Elephas maximus indicus: one gene and its partner. The protein of the gene in region 2 binds, or shares a complex with, the protein of the main gene of each other region. Links are inferred from orthologs where the notes say so. Each region holds a gene or a part of one and is shown on either strand. Other genes may lie near its edges.

Region 1 (3,746 bases), on a different chromosome or scaffold from region 2:
AATCTAAAACTGTTCTAAAAAAGTCTATTAAAAAAAAAAATCTAAGATGGCTTTAGGAATTACTTGGGAGAAAAAGTTATTAAAGGTTTAAAGAAAGAAAAGAGAAGCCATAAAACTCTGCACTATAAATTAGAACATAATTTCTCCGGAAACCTGCTGATATGTAAGATCTCTATTCACACTAAAATCTTCCTAGGATGAGAGATTAATGGGCTTTTCATGCAAACTAAATAGCTCTGCATCATAACATAAGGCAGACAATAACATCCCCAGAGTGCACAGTAAGCACTTTAGATCTAATTCATCAATAATGACCTATAGGCTATCTTTTATGTATGGTCTGTCCTGAAACTGACATAAAATGGCTAGACCAGGATCAACCCCACAGGTTCTATCAAGTTACTCACCTAGAGAAGCAAGCTTCAACTTGCTTCAGGAAAACTCGTAAGCAAAGAGGCTATATTTTTCCTTGGTAAGGGGGAAAAAGACCATCTATATGTGAAAGGAGAAAACTGATTGCTCAGGTCCAACTGGAGGCAATTTTGCAACTAGTGTCAACCTACTCTAATGCCATACAACTTAGTATAGATAGTTCAAAGTATTAATAAAAGCTCTGAATCTACATCAGTACCTGCCTTCCAGTCAAAACAAATAACTAACGTTTTCTACAACCTCACCTAAGACATCTAATAGGTACCCAATGACACATAATTTGGGGAAACTAATCTCTCAACGTCTGAATTTTTAAAGATGGTCAGGAAACGTGTGAGAAAAACAAATGAGGGTGATAATCTCTTAATTGCCGAGTGTCAAGTCGGCATAATACAGCACAAAACTGGAATTACTACAAGAAGAAATTTTAGAGACAACCATCACTAAATTAGGTTCTTGTATCTAATACAAAATACAGTAGTGACAACAGAAACCTGACCAGGTAAATGACATTACATTTTCACTCATCAGATAGTATGAAATGTCAAGCATAAGAGTCACTTAGCCAAAACGATGTAACATATGTAAATCTACTTTCGATAACTAGATGATGAATCTATTACTACCGTACTCCATTCCTCCCTAACCCCAAAGGAAATCCTACAAAACAAAGATGCTCGTTACTCTCAAGCCTCTTCTCTCAGAAATCCTAAATATATAATCGGAAAATACTGAAAAGGAAATGAACAATTAATAGTTTTCCAGTAATTCCTGCCTGCACCACCATGAGAATCAGTCACCGCTTTAGGATGAAACGAGAAAGAGGGGAGGTGAGAGGTAAAAAATTCCAAGTAAAATGATCATGACATAGCGTCTGGCAGAGATCTGAAAAGCATCAACACTACCAAAAGAATTGTCAGTGATGAAAGTCAGAGAAGAAAATGGGGGTTTCCGACAAGCCACAGCTCAACCCAAGGGGGGCAAAAATCGCACCACCGCCGCCACCCCATTTTCAAGTCGCCTCCAATTCAGATATCTACCATAACCCAAACTAATTCCCCACGGAAGTGAGAACCATCCAAGAATTTTCTCCGACCACCATTTCCCACCTTCTATAGGATCCGCACTTCCCAGAGCCAAGCCCCTGGGGAAAACAACGCCCAGATCCCACCCTCCTTGCCCAAGGTTGCAAAGGGCCTGTTCCCCGTAGTGTGGCTTTTCGGGGTAGGCCTTGCAGAGCAAATGAACTGGGCAAAGAGCATGGAATTACGGGTGCGGTTCAAGAAAGGGGGCTGGGGTTGAGAAGACGACGGAGACTGGAGGAAGAAAGGGACAGACAGGAGGCAGGGGCTGGGCGGGGTGAGGACTGGGGAGGGCAGATCGGGAAGAGAGGGAAGGGCTGCGGCGAAAGGAGGCGGCCGAGTCGGGGAGCGAAGGGCCAGGAGATAAAGAGTAAAAAGCCGAGCGACGGATGAGGACGAGGAGAAGCCGGGGGCAAGGCAGGGTCGGCGAACGCTGGGAAGGGCTGGGGGTGGAAGGGAGCACGAACGCGAGGCCGGCAGGCAGCCTCCGCGGACGGAAGGGCCGCACTGGGGGCGGTGCGGCGAAGCCGCGGCCAGCTGCCAGGAGTGGGGGAGCCGCGCACTCACCGCTCTGCTCCCCCAGGAACACCAGCTTGAATTTCCTCAGCGGATTCCCGAAGTCTCCGCCCGCGGACATGATGGAGCCGGAGGAGCTACCGCCGCCTCAGTCCAGAGACCTCCCGCGCCGACGCTGCTCCAACCGACAGACGAAAAAGGCGAGAGGAAGGGCAGAAGCCGCGCTCTCTCGGCCCCTGCAGGGCCCGGCGGAGAAGCAAGGCTGGACGTGAGGACTCCTCAACAGAACGCCACGGAGCCGTCGCCGCCGCCTCCCCACAGAGTCGCCTAGCACCTAGAGAGGCCCGCGGCTGGAAGGGGAAGGAGGGCGGTGTCGGAAGCAGTCACCGGTGTGCTCGGGGTTCCCAAGGTTAGCGCCCTTGTCAGCCGCGGCACCCGGCACGAAGACTGGGATGAAAGAGGCGGAGGGTGACGGACCCGGAGCCGCAGACGCGCCTGGGACCGCTCAAACGCAGCGCCTCAGCTCCCCAGCTGCCGCTGCCGCCGCCGCCTCCGCCTCCGCCGCCGCCGCAGCCCAACCTGCTGAGTGCGCGAGCCTCTGGCGCGGCGCGGGGCGAGCCCGGGCGCGAGCCTGCCACCCCTTCGGCAGCCGGCGTGCGTGAGTGCGTGCGTGCGTGCGTGCGCGTGCGCGCCACAGCCAGCGCCTTCCTGGTTCGCCGGATCTCCCTGCTTCTCCATGAGCAGCGAGACGAGGGAGGGTTCGATTGCCACGCCCATCGGGAGAAGGAAGGCGGAGTTGGGGCGGAGCCAGCGGAAAATAAGGGGGTGGGATTTGGGGCCCTTACGTCTCTTACGTGATGAGCCAGTTAGAACAGACCCATGGCAGGCAGAAGCGGGAGGGAGCTGGCGGCGCAAGAGTGGGCGCGGCCCTCGTGCCATGGAAAGGATCGCGCCGCGGCGGCCATATGAAGTGTGGCGCGTCGCAGCCTCAGTGGAGGGAAGGCGAGGCGAGGCGGAGGCGAGGCCGGGGCAGAGGTAGAAATGACCCTAGCAATGTGCGGGTGGGTTCGGGGAGCTTTAGGTGCCTCTTTTTTGAGCCCTCAGCTCTCCCTCACCTTCCTCAAATCTGCCATTTAGCCCTGCACCCTTCTGCATCTTTTTTCTCATCATCATTCCCCGCACGGCATCTTACTAGGTACATCATCCCTCGTTGCTCGCAGGGGGGTTTCGTAACTGCCAGTAGCAGAACTTCCACAATTTGCGGATGAGGAAACTGAAGCCCAGAAGGAGGAAAATGAATTTTAAAAAATCCCCACAGACAGGTTTGAAATCCAGGTTTTCTTATTTTCCCCCACTGAAGCGCTGCAGCCTGCTTATTGATTAGCCCACCCACTCCCTGGCCTGACCTGGCTTGGTTTTCTGTTACCAGCCCTTGTTTCTCACACGTTGACAACTCTAGGGGTAACGCCCACCTTCCGCCAAGGTAGAAAAGACTTCATGTAAACCAAACCCCTGATTTCACAGGTGGTGAAACTGAGACCGTCATAGGAGAACAGCTTTGCAGAAAGTCAGTCAACGTTAGGGGCGGAGCCTGAGCTGGAGCCCATATCTGGGCAAGGGGATGTTTTAAAGCTCTCCCTTTCCTCCTAAAGCAGGCCTTCTGAATTGGCGAGAAGACTTCCCTTAAATTAAACCCATTAACCCGTTGCCATCGAG
Region 2 (3,746 bases):
CTATACTTCGCAAACTCAGGAATGGAAAACTTCGTTATTTGATGCCTCTTTTTACTTCTCTGGGCTCATGATTCCGTGCTGCTAATATTTCAACTAACTAGAGAAAACAAACAAACAAACAAACAAAACACCTTATTCTGAAGAATCTATAATTCCTATTAAAAAAAAAAAAACTTCAATAAACTTTTTAATCCTCCTCCTCCCTCATTTTATTTTAATAACTCAAAGGTAACTATAAAGTTGTGACATAGTAAAAACATCAAATGTAAACGGTTAGAATTTTTAAATAATACTAGCTTCTACCGCCCCACCTAAGGCTGCATTTGGAATCACTGGAAAACATGACTAGCCAATGTACTACTAAAAAAAACTACTGTTTTTAACTGTGAGTAAATGAGGTTGGTGGTCAAGATAAGCACTTTCAGCCCAATACCTGTACACCTGGATTTAGCTTTCTGTATTAGCAACATCTGCTTCTTGGCAAACTTGATGAGATCTTCTTTGGGCAATGTTTCCAGCTGAAAAATGTTGTCATGTTACCAGTTTGTTATAACTCACGTTTCTACTGTATCACAAAGAGGAAACAAAATGTCTGCCTAAAAACAAAAATATTCTATTGAATAAATTTTTATGCCAACTAAACACACTTTATTCCACGTTTTTTTAAATTAGCAAATCAATTTCAACTTAATTATGAATTAAGCAACTAATACCAAAAGCCAAACCAGTTGCTGTTGATTCCGACTCATGACAACCCACAGGACAGAGGGCTTCCAAAGCTGTAAATCTTCATGGAAGCAGACTGTCACATTGTTCTCCCGAGGAGCCGCCAGTGGGCTTGAACCTCTGACCTTCTGATTAGCAGCTGAGTGCTTAACCACCGTGCTACCAATGCTCCTTAACTAAGCAACTAAAAAAAGCAACTACTATGTATTAATCAATTACTACACAATGTCAAAAAAAAAAAAAAAACTTTAATTATCTTTTTAAAAAAAGATACTGTGGTCATAGCCTAAGAAATGTCCTGAGTTTTGACTCCTTTAATTGTAGGCGGTTGGGACTAAGGCTACCTAAAAGTTCCTTCAAACTATAAAATAATTTCATTCTATTCAAGGCTGAAAATTTCTTTGGCGGAATGAAAATGCATGCATATCTACAGCAACAAGATAAATGAAGTTTCATTTAGGTTTTAACTAAAAATTAGACCTTACTGCTACTACCAATTGCTACTGAGTTGTTTCAGTATGTCAGAGTAGAACTGTGCTCCGTAGGGTTTTCAGTGGCTGATTATTTTAGAAGTAGATCGCCAGGCTTTTCTTCTGAGGTGCCCGGGGGGACTTGAACCTCCAACCTCTTGGTTAGTAGCTGGGTGCATTAACTGTTTGCACCACTAAGGGAAGCCAAAAATTAGGCCTTAATACTTGGGAAAGTTATTTAACTCCTATGGGCTCAGTTTTCTCATCTGTAAAATGTGGATAACCATAGTAGCTATTTCTTGGTTACCATGAAGCTTAAGTGAAGTGACTCGGTGGTTAGGCAAGTGTCTGAAACGCAGTATGCACGCAGTAAACCTTAGCTACTAAGATGCTCACATTTCTTTTAGAGTCACTGAATATTTAACATTAGTATGGGACCAGAGCAATTACCTAATTCAATATTCTCTTTTCACAGCTTAGGAACAGAGGCCCAGAAAGACTGACTTGCTCAAAGCCTCTGCCAGTACAGAGAGCAACAAGAGTGGAGTCCCTTGATGCCCACTCTCCTTACTGCTCTTTCCCCCACCACCAGTTGGCAGTATACTCTGACGCAGCGCAACCCCTTGTGGGTCAGAACAGAACTGTGCTCCACAGGGATTTCAGGGGCTGATTTTCCCAAAGTAGATGCTAGGTCTTTCTTCCCAGGCATCTCTCGGTGGACTATCAGTGTCTTAGCCGTTCACATCACCCAGGGACACCACTATATAAAACCTCATAAATTAGACTGCTTTGTGTAATGTATGAAAAACTGCAAGATGTCTTAGTGTTGACCCAGCGGCAGGAAGTAAACAAACAGCCAACTCTTTCCATATGCGGGGCGGGGGGGGGGGCGGGAGTGGGTGGGTATGCAAGTTAAAAGAGATTCCCTTAGAAAAAGGCTATTTCATTTAAGTAAGCTATCGCCACTCCCCATGCCAAAGTTTTCCAATTCATCACCCTTCCACTCTTCAGGGAGTCTCCTAGTCAAGTATTCTCTTCACCTTAGATTTCCCAGTTCCAGGGGTGGCTGGGGAAGCCACCCCATCCTGAACAGGTTCCTGCAAAACAAAAGCAAACCCAGGTTGTCAGAATAACTTTTACTAGTCTGAGAGGAAATGCGTGGAAGCCTTTCAGGCAAACCCCTTCTCGTGGGATTAAGCGCAGGAAAATCCTCTCCGTGAGAAAGAGAACTAGGGAAGGCTGCAGCTGCGGAAACAGTATATAATAGGGACTGTACGGGGACAAGTACTCAAGAGTGACAATGTTTTGGGGGCTCCGGGACGAGGAGGGAGTTTGCTGTGCCCCTGATACCGGGGGGCCGATCCCCACGATCGAAATCGCAGCGGCAGCAAAGGCACAACTCTGCGCGGGACCAGAGTTCGTCAGTCCCAGCCCCGCGCCCCGCGCCCCATTACCTCCATAGCTGCCGCCGCGCCACCCGCCGCCACCGCCGGCGCCGCCGCCGTCTCACTTCCGTCTGCAGTCCAGGCTTCGGCCGCAGTCTCTGACGTAGCCTCAACTGCAGGTCAAAGGTCGCGCTTCCCCCGTGGCCGGCCCTGCCTCCCGTGTTTCCATGGTTACGGGCCGCGGTCTCCGCGGCGGCGTATGGGCCCCGCCTCTCGGCCCAGGCGGCCAACTCAGCTTCCGCTTCCTGGATCCGGGAGGCGGTTCCCCGCGCGCCACGCTAGTGGGAGGCAGTGTCGGGGAGAGGGCTAGGTGGGGACGGCCTCGCCCAGGTAATGCCCACCTGCCCTCCCTTCTGTTACTCTTTCCGTGTAGTGTATTGCAAGAGGCCTTAGGAACTTGAGTTTCTAACAAGTTCCCCAGAAGTTATACCTCAGAATCACGTGGGTATTCAGTATATCTGGGATGGAATTGTATATTCTCAGCAGGGGTTGGAACCTGAAAGAACTGGTTCAAAGCCCTGGTTCCTATTACCCCCTCCCATTGGTACAGTACTTTAAAATGTGCCAGGTTCTGATTAACCTAGGGTGGTGGAAGGTATACGTATGTTCACACTGAGGTAATTCACGTCTCAAGGAGTTTAACATGACTTAGGTGCCAAAGGAGCCCTGGCGGTGTAGTGGTTAAGTGCTTGGCTCCTAAGCGAAGGGTGGGCGGTTTGAACCCACCAGCCCCTGCTTGTGAGAGAGACGTGGTAATCTGCTTCCGTAAAGATTTATAGCCTTTGGAAACCCATGGGGCAGTTCTGCTCCGCCCTATAGGGTTGCTATGAGTCGGCATTAAGTCCTCCGCAGGGCTTTGGGTTTTTTTGGAAGGTTCCATAACCAATTTAAATCCAAATTTTTCTTAGACTGTAGCTGCTTCTATGTATAATTTGGAATTTGATGTCAAGCCCTGGTAGGTTTGACTCCTGCCACTGCCATTTGTTGGCTATGTGAATTTGGGTAAATTAGCCCTCAGGGGCTCATTTTCCATAGCTTTAAAATGTAAGGTTGGTGAAAATATTAAGTGAAATAACAAATGTGTATTGGAAAGAAAAAACCCCAT

What was found. The genes of interacting proteins can lie anywhere in the genome.
Region 1: the proteins of GCC2 (region 2) and RAB6A are in contact, whole or in part, in a crystal structure (PDB 3BBP), measured with the Homo sapiens proteins. The link is inferred for Elephas maximus indicus from reciprocal best matches to the Homo sapiens genes GCC2 and RAB6A. Residues at the interface, in NP_852118.2 of Homo sapiens: Thr1585, Ile1588, Leu1589, Glu1591, Gln1592, Leu1595, Leu1596, Glu1599, Arg1602; in NP_942599.1 of Homo sapiens: Lys15, Ile46, Gly47, Ile48, Trp67, Arg74, Phe75, Ser77, Leu78, Ser81, Tyr82, Asp85.

The regions. Positions count from the first base shown.
Region 1 is NC_064825.1:48,734,065-48,737,810, reverse strand, and holds the start of RAB6A (ras-related protein Rab-6A), read right to left. Parts: upstream 2,691-3,746; 5' UTR 2,152-2,690; coding exon 2,082-2,151; intron 1-2,081. Other genes in the region: MRPL48 (39S ribosomal protein L48, mitochondrial), read left to right, coding at 2,888-3,065. UniProt on the Homo sapiens protein: The small GTPases Rab are key regulators of intracellular membrane trafficking, from the formation of transport vesicles to their fusion with membranes.
Region 2 is NC_064835.1:77,370,460-77,374,205, forward strand, and holds the start of GCC2 (GRIP and coiled-coil domain-containing protein 2), read right to left. Parts: upstream 2,743-3,746; 5' UTR 2,657-2,742; coding exon 2,651-2,656; intron 2,294-2,650; coding exon 2,237-2,293; intron 519-2,236; coding exon 434-518; intron 1-433. UniProt on the Homo sapiens protein: Golgin which probably tethers transport vesicles to the trans-Golgi network (TGN) and regulates vesicular transport between the endosomes and the Golgi.